Linked DNA regions of Drosophila melanogaster. The protein of the gene in region 2 interacts with the protein of the main gene of each other region in a pairwise test. Each region holds a gene or a part of one and is shown on either strand. Other genes may lie near its edges.

Region 1 (4,367 bases), on a different chromosome or scaffold from region 2:
AAGGAGCCTCATTGAAAAGGCCGTGGAGCCCAACAGCTTCCGCTTGGATTTTCCGGGTGTGGATTGGTTGATTGGTAACCATTCGGACGAGTTGTCTCCTTGGCTACCGGTTTTGGCTGGTCGTTTGAACATTAACTATTTCCTACTGCCCTGCTGTCCCTTTGAACTGTCGGGAGCCAAGTTTCGCAGGCGGAATACGAAGATAAGTGCCTACCAGGATTTCTTTCAATACGTCACTCAGGTCTCTCATGAATGTGGCTATGAGATCCTACAAGACCGTCTAAAAATACCAAGCACCAAGCGATTGGCTCTGCTGGGAATTAAGAGAAAAGCCTCAAAGGCTATTGAAGATCTGGAGTACTTTGTCCAAGAAGAGCTAAGAAAGTATAAGACCGGAGATGCCAAAATTAAGCTGCGCGAGAAGGAGGAGAGCGTTCGAAATTGCACGCAGGTGGATAAGACCATAATTGATGGTCTAGTGTTTAAGATCTTCAAACTGATTCTGGACTCTAACGAAGATAAATGGTCTGGTCGTCTGCCCATGAGAGAGATTGCCCAGGCTCTCACCAAGGAGGAGCTGAGTGGCATTAAATCCGAGTGCGGCGGCATCAAAACATTGCTGCGCAATAAACACGAAGTTTTCGAATTCTGCGGTGGTGATCTCATAGGAATAAGAACCCCTAAACCAACGGCTACTCTCCCCAAATCCCATTTGACCATCAAGAAACGTAGCTGCTTTTTCAAGCTTCATCATCCGCTGGGATGTCCTCTCGATGATGCTGAGTGCTCGTTTATACACTAAGCTAACTCTCTATGTGTGTGGTATTTGCTCACCTTTATTATTTGGATTATAATATAAAGAAAAGTGCAATAATCGTGTCAATTGTAGAAACTAGGAGTCGATCAGTGTCCTCTAACGAGAGCTGTCACTGCTATTGCTGCGGCGTCGACGACGAATGGGGGAGCGGGAGCGACGCCGTGGTGAACGCCGGTTCCTCATGGGTGACTGACGACGTCCGCCGCCGCCGCCACCACCTCCTCCACGATTGTTGAACCTATTGAACTGGGGTGGGGATCGCCAGCGGTTGTTTTGCGGACGGCGCATCGGTGGCGAAGGACGACGCATGGGCGGCCTCTGTTTTACTAAGACAACCGGGGATACCGTAATCTCCTGGCCATCTATCTGCCCGCCATCCATATGCTTCATGGCCGACTCACAATCCTCGGGTGTGGCATATTCCACAAACGCCACGCCGCGTCCGAAGTTAGGATGAAAACGATCTACGGGAAACTCCACATTCTTCACATCCCCAAAGCTGCTAAATATCTCGAACACATGGTCCTTGGTAACGTTGCGGGTAAGCCGACCGACATGAATGCGCACCTGTTTGGGCGAAGGCGAGCGAGTCCGCGAACGGGAGCGCTCCCTTCGCTTCGGTGGCGGCGTCCTCTCAACGGAGCCGCGACCACGACGGCGTGGCGATCGTGAACGACTGGCTGAGCGAGAACGCTCCCGCTTAACATTATTGCTATCGGCGGCTGCCCTATCGTTGGATCCAGCACGGCGGGCACGATCCCTCGACCGACTACGACGATCGCGATCTCGCTCCGGCTCTTTTCGCGCCTTGCTGCCCGGTCTTGGAGATTTGGAGACACGCCTGGGGGAACGGGTGCGAGAGCGGGAACGTGATCGGGCGCTGGGCTTATCCTTGTCTTTGTCTTTGCCAGCAGCGCCGCCGCCACGTCTTCGGTTCTTCTCGCTGCGATCCGAATCGCTGGACGACGATGATGAGGAGCTCGAGGAGTCGCTGGAGCTGCTTGAGCTGGAACGCGATGACCCGGAACTGCTCCGCGAAGAGCTGCTGTCCGATGTGCTGGAAAAAGTGAAGTGTTTTATTTACTTCTCGTAACCAAGAAAACGGCAATGAAGCTGGTACAAAGTAAAACACTTCCTAACTGTGATGAAATTTTACCATATATGGTATGTGAATTTTTACAAAATCTTTTCGCTCGAAGGCTATTTTCTTCCCGTACTATCTGCTACGTTTTACAGAAGAAGAAGGACTTCCTTTTAAAAGTAACCCTTATTCCGGTTGGCAGATGGCAGCCATTTGTGGGAAAGACCTTTGCCGGCTGATTTACCTGCTTCTGGAGTCGCTGCTGGAGGACGCCGATCCGCGGCGTTTGCGTTCGCGGTCCCTGCGCGAGGAGCCGCTGGTCGCCTTGCCGTCCTTCTCTTTGGCGACCTTCTCCTTGTTGTCCTTTTCCTTCTCACCCTCGCCGGCGAGACTCTGGGCACGCGCCCTGTTTTTTTTTATTTGTCGAGAAAAGCGAGCTGTTTTAGACCATTTAGGGAGCAAAATGTGGTGCAGATACTTACATTTTCGTATTGCCGATTTGTTAAACGATTAGTTTTATAGTACCGCACACTCTTTTAGGTGCAAGCTAAAATGTTTTTATTAATAAATCTTGTTTTTCTCAACTAGAGTTAAATGCGAGTAGCGTTTTCAGTGGAGATTAGTGTGGCCGTGTTTGTGAACGTGTAAATATGACAAAAAAATAGAATACACACTTATTAAAATAAAATCCAGTTCCTTTACTTTGCTATTAAAAAACTGTTTTGCGAATATTAAGAAGCATTTTTAGTTAAATATAAATAAATTTCTTTTATAATATGCTTAAATCTCAAATTCTAGTATACAAATGTTTCTAGAGTATTTGGGATTAAGATAACAGACACCACTTGGTAATTTCTCACAGTCTCGCCGCGGCCACACTCTTTGTCAGGTCGAACCCAAGGTAAACTCCCATAAAGCGTAAAAATTTAAGACCTTTCCTGCCTAGCAATTTGGACTCGATAGGAAGTAATAATGTATACCGTGTAATATGAATAGTGCTTGTTTTCGTAACGTACGAATGTAGTGGAATTACATAAAACGCAATTGATTTAAGGCCAGCACTTTTTTATCTGCTGGTGACGAAGTGGTTGTCATTGTGAGTTCACATCCGTGTGCCTGTATGTGTGTGAACTTGTGTTGATTTTGTCCATGCGAGCAAGCGAGATAGCAAAAGGGGGCCGCGGGGGCTGGCCACAGCCACAGAGTTTCGATTTTCCATCCATATATCTACACTCGCAGCGGAAACGAGAGAGAGAAAGAGAGTGTGAGAGAGAGGAGCGCCCCGTCTGGTCTGGGCACATTTTACCACACTGCGTCTTTGTCTGCCGTCGAGTCGGGAGCTCCGCGTCTGGTGTGTAGTATTATTATTCTTAATATTTCGGATTACTCTGCCTGTAGCTCAATAGCAATATTAAAACCCCGCCCCGAATGCTTTGCGTTGAAAAACATATCTTAGTGTGTGTGTGAGTGCAAAGTGCAGTTATGTTGTGGCAGCAGTCAATGCAAATTAACCAGTGTCTATACCTCAAAGGCACATTTTTTTAGCCCCATCATCGTGTTTTGAAACGCCACAGCGCAGCGTAATTGCCAAAAACCAGCTAGCCAACAAGAGTTTCGTTGGTATACATATCCATATATTCATATAATCAATGTGTGTAAAGAAAACGAAACTAAGAAAAGCGAAAAAGAGCATTCGATGAAGTTGACTGTCATGACTACGCAATAGCAACAACAATAGGAGCTGCCAACAGACACATGTATGCACAGTAGGTGGGTCCTCTCACGTGCTCTCAGTGCCGCTCTCTGCTCTCCCTCTCTCGGTTTCTTTGTGCATCGGTGTGAGTGTGTATGTGTGTTGGGGTCCGGACTCCATGGAAAAAGCGAATATTTTGATGCCTGCTTCCTTGTGTGTATATGCGTATATTTTTTATAATTTATTGTTTTAATTTTGAGAGGGCGTAGTGTGACCCCAACTCGAACACCGACCCTGCCCAAGTATGCATAGAAGAACGCGCACACACATTTGTGGTCAAAATAATAGTTAAATTACGGAAATGTAGTCTATTTACAATGTTGAAGGAGAGCACCGAAGAGGTCGCTCTTTATATACATACATACATACATAAGTATATGTTATCGCTGCATTAAGTCTTATAATCTATGTTTAGAAATGCACTTATCTTATCTTTATAATAATATTTACCACAAATACCCTGATCAAAGAGGGGTTTTATGCCGTGACACAGTCGTTATACGAAGAGGGTGCTTCCAAAATCTTAGTGCTTCCATTTTAAAAGCATCGAAATTTATGTTATGAAAAGAAAAAGAACTTCTTATGCTAAGAATATATCACTATATAATTGCGGAGAATATCTTTGGGGTACAAATTATAGAATTCCATTATATAATATATATAATATTATATAATATATATAATATTTCTACTTAAATGTCTGTTTTAAGCAACAC
Region 2 (5,125 bases):
GCACGTGCCCTTTTAAGTTATATTTACATTTTACAACACTGGATCGAGGGGAGGCACAAGCGCAGCCAAGTTTGCTTTGCTAAGTTTCTTTTCCAACTTAATTTTTTTTGTAACTCATGATGTCTAGGAATTTTAGCATGCGAGCTAAGGTGTATCTAAAGCCGTTGGTGTTTTTCCAAATTATTGACGCATACGATCGCCGACCAAAAGGTGACAATCAGGTAGGTGTGCGCGCATTCATCTCCTGTCCACTAATCTTGTAATGATCAAACCAAAGGTTATGGGCACTTTGCTGGGTCGCAACAAGGAGGGCCACATCGAGATCACAAACTGTTTTACTGTGCCGCACAAGGAGCATTCGGAGAACAAACGCATTGATCTGGATATGGCATATGCCTCCGAGGTCCTAGAGCTAAATATGTTCGCCTATCCGAACGAGCGTGTGCTGGGCTGGTTCTGCACTGGGAAATCGGTGTCCCGCTCCGCGTCCCTGATCCACGACTATTATGTCAGAGAATGCTGCGAAGGACAGCCACTGCACCTGCTAGTGGATGCAGCCCTGAAGAACCAGCGACTCTCGACCCGACTGTACTGTGCTGTGGAGATGGGAGTGCCTGGTGGCACCAAAGGACTGATGTTCTCATTAGTTCCACTGGAGATTAGCAACGAAAATTCCGATTTGGTGGCTCTGCGTTGCATAGAAAAGCAATCGCAGCAACAGGCAAGCAAGCAAATGGAGCGCTTCGTCCCAGAGTTGGCTCAAGTGGTGGATGCCACTAGGGATATGCAACATCGCCTTGACTTGGTGCTGCGCTACATCAACGATGTCTTGGCCAGGAAGAAAAAACCTGACAACGTAGTCGGGAGATCCCTTTACGCCGCTCTCACTGCCGTGCCGCTTTTGGACTCGGACAAATTTCGCGTCATGTTTAATACTAACTTGAGGGATATGCTCATGGCCATCACTCTTTCCACAATGATAAAAACACAGCTGGAGATCAGCGAGAAACTGTCTTGCATGCAGGATCAGTGAACAATGACAAAAAACTGACTGAATTGACTGAATCAATCACTTAATTGTTATTTTGGGTGCCTTTTGCTATTTACACCACCTAATAAATTGAACTTTCATTAAAAGGAGGATGTAGGTCACACTAAAGCAAGCCTTCGGTAGAAATTATTAAATTAGTATCGGCTCCTGAACTTTGGAGTCTAGAAACATCGCATCCAGCGATTAAGATCATTATAAGCTCGTGCCGAAAACAAATGATTTTCGTTAAGGCTTCCCCCGTTCTACACAGTTGCGTTGCCCGAAAACCTTATAGGCAACGCTTGATCGGCATTCTTTTCCAGCATCCCGATCTTAGTCCCTTTGGTAAGTGATTTTCAGAGAAAGCGAGTCATTTCGCCAACTCCTTTGGCCGTTTAAGCACCAAAAAGTTTGCGGTAAATACAACAACAGTGCTGGGAAACCCGCGGCGGAATGATGATCTCTACGGACGGTGATAAGGTCCAGTACAGATCTATTTCGGTCTGTTCAAATCTCGACGAAGAGGGCACGGCGGAGGATGGTAGTGGAAAGGTGGTGGGGGTGTCGGGGATGTGGACCACCCAAATAATGCCGAGATAATAACGCCTTATCGCGGTTCAGGGACAGTCGGCGGATGTCCACCGGGGCAATCAATTAGCTGGAACGAACTGAAAATTAGCAAACGTTGACGTTGACCGTCGATAGTAGCCCTACGACACCCCTCTCCTCAGACGAATCTCCCGTTGTCTCTCTGCGCCCCCACCCCTCAGACGAACCGACGCCTCCGCCGCCTCTGACTTATCGCTCAAGCCAAGGGCTATCGGTGTGCCCCGGTCGCCTTTCCTGATAGACATCGCTGCTCTGAGGAGTGGATTAGATGCGGATCCACACCCTCAGACGTCCAGCGACCGGCGATCCGAGCAGACGCACGAAGTATTAAGCCTGTGGTAAAACCGTAATGAGATCCGATTTCAAAATGAAAACCCAAGTAGACTGAGCTAAGACTACAACGCAAGGAAAACAACTATGCCAATCGTCCGTATAGATCGGGGCTTCCTTGATTGAACTCACAGTGTAAACCGCGATCGTCCGTCCGGATTTCGGCAACTAAGTATTATGCTCTCGCTGCTGCCGCACCACCCGCTCGTCTGCCGCTGCTGCCTGCTGGAGCAGCCGCCGCTCTACCACAGTCTCTATGACGCCTCTAGCCAGCTGGCGGTGGAGCTGAAGGCCCTGGCTCCCGCCCTGCGCCTTGAGCACGGCGACAACCTCACCGATGTGATATGCGACCTGTGCCTTCGTCGCCTGCACGACGCCCGCGACTTCCAGCGGCGGTGCGAGCACTCCGAACAGGTGCTACGCATGCGGCACGAGCACTGGAAGCACACGGTGGCCGTGGGAGACGCCTTGGCCCTGGACGATGTGCTTGAGTGCCTGGAGCGAGAAGTGGGCAGCCTGGAGGGACCGATGTCTGTGCCTCTGCAAGCAAGTAAGCCGGTGGCCCATGTGGCGCCCTTAATGGAGACCGTTGATTTTGGTAAGTTATCACGCACGGGGCGAACACATTGGTTTAAAAGCCAAGGCCGGTCAAAGAACCAAGGATTAGGTCATAAAAGAAAATTTATTATAAAATATGACACATGCTGATAGCACGCTGATAACCAGCTCGAATTTAATTAAGTATGTTTTTCTATATGGACCAAGCTATAATAACAATTGTTATAAACAATCAGCTAGACACAAATTTTGCATTCATGAACAAATTGATATTTTAACTACCTGCTACTCGAGGAGTAAAAGGATTCGATAAAAGTATTTTTTATATCTATCTATCTATCTATATATATATATATATATATATATATATTGATCAGTATCAACAACAGATTCGATATAGTCCGTTCCAAGTCAGTCCGTTTCTACGCACTAAACTAAACTCTCTCTTGTAAAGTTATCAGCTATCGGATATATATATATATTCATATACAATATAATATTCACGCAGCTGCCATAGAAAAGTGAACAAGAAATAAATGAATTTAATATGAAATATAGTTACTTTGTTTTTGATCGTAAATTAGTGCAGCTTGCAAAATTTGGTTGACATGCTGGTGACTTTGGCGCTCTCCCTTGTTTATATTGTCCTTTAAAGTTCCATACCTTAACTATAACTTTTTCACCACCGCAGAAAGCCTGGACTTCCAAGACAGCTCGCACAGTGAACATGATATTCCCTCGTACTGGGAATCGTCGGTAGATTCGGGAAGCCTAAACACTCCGCATCATCAGCCGGAGACCGCCGAGCTCTTTGCAGTCGAGCCCCCAACGCCGCCGGAATCATCCGAAGAGCCGGCACCTGATGCCGCAGAAAAGCCCAAGATGCGGAGAGCCAGGCCGCGCCAGGATAACGTCAAGCCCAAGGAGAGGAAGGCCTCTGGTGCCGTGCACCCGCGATCCTTGCACCCGTGCCCCGAGTGCGAAAAGAAGTTCACTCGCAACTTTCAGCTGAAGCTGCACATGACAGCCGTTCACGGCATGGGCGAGATGAGGTACCAGTGCGAGGAGTGCCGCAAGAACTTTGCCTCGCGGCACAGTCTTCGCTACCACGTGAAGTCGGTGCACTCAACGGAGCGTCCATTCGGCTGCCAGCACTGCGACCGCCGCTTCATCCTGCGCACGCAGCTGCTGTCCCACCTGCGCACCCACACCGGCGAAGCCAAGCCGCGCATATTCGAGTGCCAGCGCTGCTCGAAGAGCTGGCCCACCAAGTCCGACCTCCGCACCCATATGCGCTCCCACAACCCCAACATGGAGCGGCCCTTCAAGTGCGATCGCTGCTCGAAGGCCTTCTTCACTCGTGGCCACCTCAACTCCCACCTCCTGGTGCACACCGGCGAGAAGCCATTCGCCTGTGAGTACTGTGACAAGTGCTACCAGAGCGTTGGCAACCTGAATAACCACATGGTGCGCCTGCACGCAGATATCATTGAGGCCCAGTTAGAGGCGGAGGGCATCGAGAGCTGAGGCCCACGCCCGCATCCTAGGAAGAGGCTGCTCTAAGTATTAGGGGTGCTGGAGGGACAATTACACCGAGTCGACCACCTATAACTTTAACATTACAGTGAATATATTTATATAATATAATTTTGTGGCATGACGCCACTTTCTTCGTAGTTACCCAATTCAAGCTGTCGAAATATTCATTCTGTTTTCTTATTGAATCATTCATTGAAGAAAATGCCGAGTTAAGCAAATGAATGGTTTCTTGATATTCCAAATACTAATACTAAGCAGTGAGATAATCTACTCATTACCACATATACAATAATTTAACATTTTTTCTATACATTTAAATAAATATATTTTAGCTAGAAAAGGTTGGTTCTGAGTTTTTAAACCCGTCGGTTGTCTATTATTACTAGAAAACAAAGCACCAGGTAGATGAAATTGACAGTTGACATTGATTGAGAACGCATCTAATGCATATTATACATTCTTAATCTAAATCACATAGTGAGTTGATCTACACAGGCGACCAGACTGTCCGTCGGTACAAACCGAAATACAGAAGAACGTCGTAATCTCGGGACCTACATACATCTATGTACATATTTACATATCTAAATGCTAAGGAGTAGAGCTTTCCTTCGTGGAACTGTTTCGTTGGGCATTGCATTATTATTGCCCAACAATGGATTTGGCAAGCATTTCCTATGCCCAGTCGTCTTATCTTATCATATTTGTCGCAGTGTCGCAAACCAAAAGCGGTTGATTGCCAAACGCCACTGCGAGGAGAAAGTGACGAAATAGCCAGCATACAAAAAAAAAAACTGAAAACCGAAGGTGAAAAAACAAGACATTTGAAATAGAAATCGTGAAAAAATGTGGAATCAAAATAAGATTAAAGCTTAAAAGATGTGGTGTCAAAACGTACACCAGCTAAAATAACAATTCCCAAAAACAATATGACGCAATTAAATTTATGGCTATGTGACGATTACTAATGTTTCAGTATCTGATCATTTGACAGCTTACTTAAAATCATTTTACCAAGAATGCTAATTCTTAAAAATTTCCATAATATTGTATGTTCAC
Region 3 (3,842 bases), on a different chromosome or scaffold from region 2:
CACGTGGCCTGGACATTGAGGATATCACGTAAGCAAATTTTTCGAGTCGAGGAACCCATTAGTCATTATTTTTTCATCCACAAAGACATGTCATCAACTATGATTTTCCGCACAACATCGAGGAGTATGTGCACCGTGTTGGTCGCACCGGACGTGCTGGCCGACAGGGCACATCAATAAGCTTTTTTACGCGCGAGGATTGGGCTATGGCCAAGGAACTAATTGAGATACTGCAGGAGGCGGAGCAGGAAGTGCCCGACGAACTGCACAACATGGCTAGACGCTTTAAAGCCATGAAGGACAAGCGCGCTGCTGAAGGTGGCGGTTTTGGAGGAAGAGGTGGTCGTTTTGGAGGCGGACGTGGCGGCGGACGCCGAAATTTCGATCAATTTCAATACTGATTCATTCTACATTTTCTAGTTATAAGAGACTAGAGCGCATTGAAGTGCCTTGCCAAAAATTGTTTAACTATTTATCTATTCCAATTATAGATGATCATAACCCAAAACATGCCGTGTTAAAAGAACACGCGATTTAAATGTATCAAACTAAGAGTTTAGAATGTTTATTGAGCTTAGTTAGTGCCACCGGCGTATTTCTCCAGCAGTTCCCGTTTCCGCTGGCGCAGCAGTGCTTCCTGTACATCTTGTTGCGTCGGCACGGGAACGTGAGCGGTGAACTTGGATGCCAATAGGCCATGAGGATCCTCCACGGCGGCTCGAGCCTTGGCATCCTCGATGGCTTCGCGTGCTGGTCCCGAAAGGGGATATATTTCATCCTCCTCTTCGTCATCGATTATGCGACCATCTCTGGCCATTTTCTCCCGCCATTCCTGCACGGCCTTCTGAATGGCCGCTCGTTCGATGCGTTCCTCCAGAGGGATCAGAACACCATCTTCGTCATCTCGATAGCCGTAGTATTCGGCATCTATGTCCTTCATTAGTTCAGCGCGTGATTTCCTGGGTGGCGGCGGAGGATCCTGTTCAAAGAGCTCGCGAACACCCGGCAGATCCTTGGCGGCTCCAAAGTATTTGTAGCCTCGATTGCCGGGAACTTCACGGCCCTCCGCATCGAACATCTTGGGACCATAGCGTCTATAGTGGGGGCCACCCAATGAGGATATCTGATTTTCCCAATGCCGTTTCTCACGCAATAACTTGTTGATTTCATCGTTCAGATCGCGAATCCGGAATTCTCCCAAGCCAGCTATAAGTGGTCGCTATTAGTGTATATTGTTAGGGAGAAATAAATAAACCGAAATAGGTACCATTCTGTATCTGGGCCACCTTCTTCGATATGTCGCGTATTATCTCCAGGCGGAACTTCTCACATCTGGGCAAATCGTGGCACTCGGAGGCCAAATAGGGCCGGCGTTCCTTTTCACCAGATTCCACTTCTTTTGCGGCCCGCCAACGTGCCAAAGTTGTCCTGTCGAAAATAAGCGGATGAGTGCTGGAAATCTTATGTTATACGTATATCCGGGTTACTTACATTGCCTTCTCTGCATTGCGCGCCTGAAAATATACATGTATTATTCATTTAATTAAAATTAATAAAATTTTCACATCATCTTACCATTTTGTTTACTAACTTCTTCTGCCTTAATTGCCAGTCACAGCGAACTATACGGAAATCGGTTACACGTTATCGATAGCAAGTACAGTAAATATTGTCCAGTAGCGATTTCACATATATTTTAAATGCAATTTATTAATAATATTCCCGATGAAACCCGAAGACATAATATTATTTATTTGTACTTAATATATATATACCATATGAATTTTATTTTCTCTTAATTGGATACATGCTGAAATAAACGATTACCATTCACTACGAATACTACTAAGTACACTACCGCGCACTTGGCCACACTGACCTGCCCAGTTGTTTTTTCACGACAACATTTACGCTCTTTGGAAAAGGAAACCTTTTTTCGCGAATTTCAAGCAGATCCCGACCAGAAACACACCTGCCCCAGGATGTTGGCCCTCATCAACAGGATCCTCGAGTGGTTCAAGAGCATCTTCTGGAAAGAGGAGATGGAACTCACGCTAGTGGGGCTGCAGTTCTCCGGGAAGACGACGTTCGTCAATGTTATTGCAGTGAGTATTTTCGCAGTGGGTGTGTGCGAATTCGTGTGGGTGTATGGGTGAGAGGGTGGTTTTTTTTGTGTGTGGTTGTCTGTTGTGTGGGTGGGGAGGGGGTTCACGGAAAGCCGGGGGATCAGCTACTACTTAAAAAGCATTACAAACCCCCAGTGACAAAGGAATTGGTCTTAGCTTGATTCCCCCACTCTAACATTGTTTATTTCTTATCTTTTCGTACTCCCAGTTTCTTTCACTGCATCCGTAATTAACGCTGTGCTAACCGTTTCCTTTTAGTGGTAAAGTTTACCGTTCCTGCCGCTGTAATCAATAAACCTACATATAGCCCATATATACGCATGTTTCTCCGCACAATGACGCCATTATCAGCACTTCAACCCCTGACCCCGTATTCCCGTACCGCCTCCCTGGTTTTTTTCACACATTTCTGCACGCTGATAATGCGACGATCTCAAGTTACCATTTACTGGAACTCGTAGATAGTTGCATACACTTGCCAGTCGTTGCGGGAGGTGGAGTAACTACTGCCTTTGTGACCGCCTGACTTATTATGAGTCATGTGAATTCGATTCAAATGTCTGCCCGCATCTACGGGAAATTTGTTTGTTCAAGTGCTCCCGAAACGGAAATATTCCCCTGCTTATCACTGCTATTAGACTCCAATTCCGTGTTTGCATTCAGATTCGTGCATTAGTGTAATGTTCAGGTTCGGAATGAAAACAAACTTGTGGGTGGCGCCAATTAGTCACTTTTCCCATTTCACTAGCGACTGCTAACCTATAGTATACCTTTTTAATTTAAACTAAGTCACAGAAGTAACATCTTGCCATTTTAGGAGCTTTCGATTCTCTTATTGAATGCATATGTAAGGTGATTGATGCTGATACAGAACAAAGATTTATGGGTTAGAATCAATTATCAATTTAAGTGTTGTATGTTGAATTAAATTTAGTACCAAAAGACATTGTTTGATCAATACTTTAAGATATTACAATAGTTATTTATTTAAGAGCATTTTCAAAAAGAATAACAAATTTTTTAAGGTTTTGGATGCTGTCATGTGTAAAAAATCAATTTTTTACACGAGTTTTACATTATTTTGGATTGCATACTTCTAGGCTTTGTTCTTTGCTAATATAAAAGTTGTATTTTATTTAAGACACGATTACTTACTAATTATTTTTGTTTCTTGTAGTCCGGCCAATTCGCTGAGGACATGATACCCACAGTTGGATTCAACATGCGCAAGATCACCAGAGGCAATGTGACTATCAAGGTGTGGGACATCGGAGGCCAACCTCGATTCCGATCCATGTGGGAGCGCTATTGTCGCGGCGTTAATGCGATTGTGTAAGCAATAATGATACTTAAGCAACAATCGGTAGTCAAGTAACACTGTAATGTATTAATCAACAGCTACATGGTGGACGCAGCCGATCTGGACAAATTAGAGGCCTCGAGGAACGAGCTGCACTCACTGTTGGACAAACCGCAGCTCGCCGGCATTCCAGTTCTCGTGCTGGGCAATAAACGAGATCTTCCAGGCGCTCTCGATGAAACCGGACTCATCGAACGAATGTGAGCGCCTTAAAATTGTTAAAACTATTTAAAAATTATAAATTAATCATTTAAAATAAATTGCAGGAATCTATCGAGCATACAGGACCGTGAAATCTGCTGTTATAGTATTTCCTGCAAGGAGAAGGACAACATTGACATCACGCTGCAGTGGTT
Region 4 (6,483 bases), on a different chromosome or scaffold from region 2:
ATACCTACCAAACAGTGAACTACGGATGGCGACAACCAAATGGATCATTCGATGGTCTCATGGGACGTTTTCAACGCTATGAACTGGACTTGGCCCAGCTGGCGATCTTCATGAGATTGGATCGTATTGCATTGGTCGATTTTGTGGCTGAGACTTATCGAGTGAGAGCTGGGATCATGTTTCGGCAGCCACCTCTCTCGGCAGTGGCCAATATATTCGCTATGCCCTTTGAGAACGATGTGTGGGTGTCCATTTTGATGCTACTGATCATCACGACCGTGGTCTTGGTTCTGGAACTCTTCTTTTCGCCACACAACCACGACATGTCCTACATGGATACACTAAATTTTGTTTGGGGTGCTATGTGCCAGCAGGGTTTCTACGTAGAGGTGCGGAACCGATCGGCGAGAATCATTGTCTTCACCACATTTGTTGCAGCTCTCTTCTTGTTCACCTCGTTTTCGGCCAATATTGTGGCCCTGCTGCAAAGTCCGTCGGATGCTATCCAGTCATTGTCTGATCTGGGACAATCGCCTCTAGAAATCGGAGTTCAGGACACGCAATATAATAAAATATACTTCACCGAGTCCACAGATCCCGTAACGAAGAATCTTTACCACAAAAAGATCGCGTCCAAAGGTGAAAATATCTATATGCGCCCCTTGCTAGGAATGGAGAAAATGCGAACCGGCTTATTTGCATACCAGGTTGAACTCCAGGCTGGTTACCAAATCGTCAGCGACACCTTCAGCGAGCCGGAAAAGTGCGGATTAATGGAACTGGAGCCTTTTCAGCTGCCCATGCTAGCTATTCCAACAAGGAAAAACTTTCCTTACAAGGAGCTCATTCGAAGGCAGTAAGAATATTTTATATATAAACATAGTTTCGCTTTCCAATTGCATTTTACATTTAAATAAAATAGGTAATTTATTAAATTTTATACTAAAAATCCAATAGTAATTTAAACGTGTAACTAATCAAAATATGCCTAATTAAAAATTTTACAGGGATAAAAACCCTTTTATAATTTACAATTCAATAACTTGTTCGAAAAGAGGAAATCATAAAACACTTTGTTTTAACCCACAGACTACGCTGGCAGCGAGAAGTAAGCTTGGTGAATCGCGAGGAGCGAAAGTGGATTCCTCAGAAGCCCAAATGCGAGGGCGGAGTTGGCGGATTTGTCTCCATTGGCATTACAGAATGCCGGTATGCTTTGGGGATCTTTGGGTGTGGAGCTGCTGTCAGTTTTGTCCTGTTTCTTTTCGAGTTTATCTTCAGACACTTCAAACAAGTTTATCGCATAATTAAAGGCTATAGAGAAGTGCAGCGCTAGGCTCCACGCGTTTAATCCAAACACACTTAAAACTTAGATGGGTATGGATAGCTCCCGGACAACAGCACGCAGCACCTCAGGTGTCTTGAACTGCCAGTTCTGGATGTTCTTGCTGACCCGACACCAGGACTCGCCGTGCGTGGGCTCTGCAGAAATGCACCGATCGAGGACCTCCTGCTGCTGCGCCTCCGTGCCGTGGAGTAATTCGAACTTGTAGAAATATGCCCAAGCATCACCTAGATCTGGATCGATCTTGACCTGAAATAAACAAATGATTAGCTCTGAACATGTTTGTTTCTATTACATTTAATAGGTAGTATAAATTACTTACAGTTCGATTAAACCAGTCTCGGCACTTAGAGAACTTGTGCTCAGACCAGAACAGTTTTGATACAGCTAGCAGCACATGTGGATCGTGCTCGCATTTCTTGAGAGCATCCACTGACTTGGTCTTTCGCTGCGGCTTGGTTTCCATGAAGATAGCCTCCGCCCATAGCTCACCAGCGTTGGGACATTCCTGCAGTGCTCTTGCCATCATTGTGCTGGCAATCTCCTTGAGGCCCGCACGCAGCTCCACCCTGATGGCCTCCAGCCAGAGCACAGCCACTTTGGGGTTGCGTAAACGTCCTCGTTCCAGAATGGATCGAGCCTTCGTCAGCACTCCTTTGCGCTCTTCTAGATTGGCGGAAAGAATCCAAAGTGGGATGGACGTAGGACACTTTTTCAAGCCCAGAGTATAGGTGGCAGCCGCATCATCTGTCCGTCTCTGCTGCTCCTCAATCTGACCCTTCATCATCCACAGTTTGGGGAAATCTGGGAACACTTCCACCGCCTCCTCCAGCAACCGCAGAGCTTCGTCGAACTTTTCCAAAGCCCATTCCAGGCGAGCTGATTTCATCATCACCCTTGGTGTCGGTGCCGATCCTCTAGCCTTGGCTAACAAGCGTCTCGCCCGCTCATATTCCGAGTTCTCTGATTCCAACTTAACGGCAGCCAACCAAATGTCCTCGGAATTGGGATTGGCCTGGAAAGCCAAGGACAAAATGCCTCTCGCGGCTGGAACGTCTCCAGCCATCCATTTGGATTTGGCCCCCATCAGCCAGAGAATCTCCGATTTAGGACAATGAGCCACGGCTCGCTGCAACAGGGCCTCCAAAGATTCGCGGGTGCCATGGTTCTTTTCAAAGTAGGCGGCTCGCAACCAGATGCTTTTCTTCGAGGGAAATATTTGGAGGGCATGAGCGTAAACAGCTCGAGCACACTCAAATGCATTTTCCTTTGCGCACTGAAAGAGGGAAAATATAATACGGTTATTTTGTTCCAAAAATGTTACAAATTTGAAAAATGAGTGTTTCTTAATACTTACGAATTCAGCATCATCAATCCAAGTCTGCTTGCGATCCTCCTCCTCCACTCCTATTCCAATGACAGCCTTAACAATGGATTGGCAACAGTTGACTGCTCCTGATTTTTCCGCCTCGATGGCCTCCTGGAACCACTGATCACGGTTGATCTCCACTCCGTTGACGGTAAGCGAGGTCAATGATCGATCAATGATCTTTTCCACCATGTGAATATTACCATTGGCCTCCTCCAACTTAGCAGCTGTGGTCCAAATCTGGCGATCAGTGGGAATATTCTCGCGAGCCTTGTTTAGAACCTTTCGGGCGTTCTCGTAGGTTTCCAAGCGGGCGAGAGCCAACCAAAGTTCAACGCTGGTGTTGCAGCACTCCACGGCGCGAGAGAGTAGAATCCGTGCATCATCAGGATTCTCGAGTTCCACAGCCGCCTTCCACAGACGAACTGAATTTGGAATATGCTCTAGAGCTTTTCTGAAAACTCTACGCTTAGCTTTGGTCTCCGATTCCAGATCTGCGGCTTTAATCCAGATCCTGACCGAGGTAGGAATATGACGAGCCGCTTGCGCGATCACCGCTTTGGCTGTATCTGGCGGCTGAAGGCGAGCTGCTTCCAGCCAGAGATCCTCAGACTGGATGTTCATTTCGCAGCCCCGCATTATCAGATTCCTCGCCATCTGAACCTTGCCAGTCACTTCTTCCAAACGGGCGGAGGCAATCCAAGCTGGTGGATGGTTAGGATTCGTTTCCCTCACACTCTTGAGCAACAAACGAGCCTTCTTGATGTCGTTTATGTCACCACCATAAGTGGGAATCATACTCTGCAGGTCGGTGAGATAGCCCTTGGGATCCACCACCGTTTGGCCTGTCACGGAATCGGAAACCTGCGAAAGCTTGACGTTCATAAGAGTGTTACGAGCCTGGCCAATCTTTCGCAGATCAAGATCACCCGTAGGTGTCAGCATGCCTGGAGTAGCTACGCCAGGCACCATAGAAGCCAAGCCCGAGGACGGATCCAACGTAGAGGACGACTCGCCGCCAAGATTTCTGGATATCAAGCTGTCCGGCAGAGGGGTAAACTTTTCGGCCCTTGGATTTCGTTGCTTTCTGTTTCGACTGTCGCCCACTTCAGGAATCGTGGACCACTCCTCCGATGTGACACTGGCCAGTGAGCGTTTCAGGTCACTGAACTGCTGCTGGATCTTCGGTCGCTCCTGGCGGTACCGCTCCAAATCCTCACGCAGCCGGCGATCACGATACTCTTTGCGCTTTTCGTCCATTCGCTTGTCTATCGAATCGTAGATAGCGTCCGCCTCCTCGTCATCCTTGTCGTACGGATCCTTGGAGAACAGGGAGCCGCTGTAACCACTAAACTCGTCATAGTTTGAGTCGTTCAAGTCTTCGTCCTCCTCCTCCTCTTCGTCTTTTTTCTTACGTTTGGTGGCCGGCGGAGCATGGCGGTCGTCGGATACATCGTTTGCATCACGGGCAGGACCAATATCGGACCGAGTGGTGAATCCTGTCGCTCTAAAATAGAAAATATACCATTAGCATTAAGTTTTGCTTTGCGAGATGCGCGTTTGGTAGTACTTACCCACGACCGACGCCGGCAACATAGCCCAATGGGGCTGGGACGCCCAGGAAATGCTTTTTGTTGCGGTTGGCTATAACCGCCGCCGTTATGTTGGACATCGTGGCTTAGTTCTATATTAATATTATCTACTTTATTTAATAAATTTCACAAACAATTGAAAGTTTTCTAATGCGTGGTGCGCTTCTTCTTCTGAAATTAGGGATGGGAAAAATATATCAATTTATCGATATATTAAAATAAATGTAAATATTTATATCGTGATAGTTTTTCTATGATATATCAAATATCGCTCTTTCTGTAAAATATTTTATTGGACACATGTGGATTCATAAAAAACTGAAAACTAAGTTATTATTCTTAAAGGATCACTAAATTATTATATTTATGATGAAATATCTGATGATAAATGATAATATATTATGAAATGTCAAGAATAATTTGTTTGGGTACTTTATCATTTTGATAATTTTTTTAAATGAAAAGTGTCTGATAACGACCTGTAGTCGCGGATTATAAAAGTATTTGATATCGGAACTTAGCCTAAAACCAACTATCTTTGTTAAATATTTTTAAACTGATATCAGTGTTATTTTTTGTTATATTATTTGTTGGAAAAGTGGAAAATGGTCTTCTACCATACAGTTGTCATCTATCGATCAAAAGCGTTGTTCACATTGTCCATCTCTAGATTATCGGTGTAAAATAATTTGCGAATCGGAAAAATTAATTGACGAATAAACAAAAACGTAGCTTAAATTTTTCATTTTCCCTGGACTTTCGTTGCAAATAGAAGCAGGATGCCCGTGCTGCCGATGCCACCACTCATGCAGGTAAAAAGTAACCAAAAATGCGTTATCTGAAGCCATATAATCAGCAAAAATCGCTTATTACTCCAACAATAGAACGCCGTGGAGCCGATGCAAGTGGACATCGCGCCGCCGAACGAGGACAACGAAAACAACGAGGAGCAGCAGATTGTGGTGGAGAACCCCAGCATCGATCTCGAAGTGTACGCCAACCAATATGCCGGGATCGTGCGGCTCCATCGCCTAATTTATGTGGCGGACGTCTGCCCGGTTTTAGCCGTGGAGGCTCTGAAAATGGCCATTACTTACGTTCAAACCACCTACAACGTAAATCTCTACCAAGTGCTGCACAAGCGCTTGAGTGATCTAAACGCTGGAAATGCGCCTGCGCCACCAGCAAATGCTGGCGGAGATCAGGCAGGAGCAGCGGCTCCCGGTCCCCTGGCAGCTGCTCCCCTTCCGGATATCGCGGCACAACCTGTGGCTCAGGCTCAAGGACAGGCTCAACCCGCTGTCGAAAAGGATGCCTTCGCCTACGATGCCGCTTGGGTAGACACCAAGATGAAGAAGGCGGCTCTTAAGCTGGAGAAACTGGACTCAGACCTCAAGAACTACAAGTCCAATTCGATCAAGGAGAGCATCCGGAGGGGCCACGATGACCTGGCTGACCACTACCTCAGTTGTGGCGACCTCACCAATGCCCTGAAGTGCTATTCTCGGGCCAGAGACTACTGCACTAGTGGCAAGCATGTGGTAAACATGTGCCTTAACGTGATCAAGGTGTCAATTTATCTCCAGAATTGGGCCCATGTGATGAGCTACATATCCAAGGCGGAAAGCACCCCGGACTTCGCCGAGGGCTCCAAGGAGGCTAATGCCCAGGTTCATACTCGCCTTGAATGCGCTGCTGGTCTGGCGGAACTGCAGCAAAAGAAATATAAGGTGGCCGCTAAGCATTTCCTCAATGCTAACTTCGATCACTGCGACTTTCCCGAAATGATCTCCACCAGCAATGTGGCGGTCTATGGTGGCCTCTGCGCCCTGGCCACCTTTGATCGACAGGAGCTTAAGCGTCTGGTCATCGCCTCTACATCCTTTAAATTGTTCTTAGAACTGGAGCCCCAACTCAGGGATATTATTTTCAAGTTCTACGAAAGTAAATACGCCTCATGTCTGACGCTTCTGGATGAGATTAGGGACAACCTGCTGGTTGACATGTACATTGCGCCCCATGTAACCACTCTGTATACCAAGATACGCAATCGCGCGCTAATCCAGTACTTTAGCCCCTATATGTCAGCTGATATGCACAAAATGGCCATGGCATTTAACTCGTCGGTGGGCGATCTGGAGAACGAGGTGATGCAGTTGATATTAGACGGACAGATC

The links.
Region 1: the proteins of CG30431 (region 2) and RnpS1 interact in a two-hybrid assay, tested with the Drosophila melanogaster proteins (one large-scale study listed by BioGRID).
Region 3: the proteins of CG30431 (region 2) and CG9667 interact in a two-hybrid assay, tested with the Drosophila melanogaster proteins (one large-scale study listed by BioGRID).
Region 4: the proteins of CG30431 (region 2) and Prp6 interact in a two-hybrid assay, tested with the Drosophila melanogaster proteins (one large-scale study listed by BioGRID).

The regions. Positions count from the first base shown.
Region 1 is NT_033777.3:9,550,198-9,554,564, reverse strand, and holds RnpS1 (RNA-binding protein S1), read right to left. Parts: upstream 2,532-4,367; 5' UTR 2,383-2,531; coding exon 2,381-2,382; intron 2,305-2,380; coding exon 2,143-2,304; intron 1,875-2,142; coding exon 914-1,874; 3' UTR 818-913; downstream 1-817. Other genes in the region: CG9386 (uncharacterized protein), read left to right, coding at 1-802.
Region 2 is NT_033778.4:6,200,801-6,205,925, forward strand, and holds CG30431 (uncharacterized protein), read left to right. Parts: upstream 1-1,924; 5' UTR 1,925-2,146; coding exon 2,147-2,567; intron 2,568-3,218; coding exon 3,219-4,054; 3' UTR 4,055-4,424; downstream 4,425-5,125. Other genes in the region: eIF3f2 (eukaryotic translation initiation factor 3 subunit f2), read left to right, coding at 117-221, 278-1,033.
Region 3 is NT_033777.3:8,124,738-8,128,579, forward strand, and holds CG9667 (uncharacterized protein), read right to left. Parts: upstream 1,621-3,842; 5' UTR 1,579-1,620; coding exon 1,576-1,578; intron 1,515-1,575; coding exon 1,492-1,514; intron 1,429-1,491; coding exon 1,268-1,428; intron 1,207-1,267; coding exon 575-1,206; 3' UTR 553-574; downstream 1-552. Other genes in the region: CG7878 (uncharacterized protein), read left to right, coding at 1-28, 86-401; Arl8 (ADP ribosylation factor-like 8), read left to right, coding at 1,983-2,105, 3,304-3,458, 3,525-3,686, 3,753-3,842.
Region 4 is NT_037436.4:18,903,397-18,909,879, reverse strand, and holds Prp6 (pre-mRNA processing factor 6), read right to left. Parts: upstream 4,509-6,483; 5' UTR 4,387-4,508; coding exon 4,289-4,386; intron 4,222-4,288; coding exon 2,703-4,221; intron 2,622-2,702; coding exon 1,668-2,621; intron 1,621-1,667; exon of another isoform or gene 1,595-1,620; coding exon 1,370-1,594; 3' UTR 1,337-1,369; coding exon of another isoform or gene 1,090-1,336; 3' UTR 906-1,089; downstream 1-905. Other genes in the region: Ir75d (ionotropic receptor 75d), read left to right, coding at 1-856, 1,090-1,336; CSN1b (COP9 signalosome subunit 1b), read left to right, coding at 5,086-5,118, 5,191-6,483.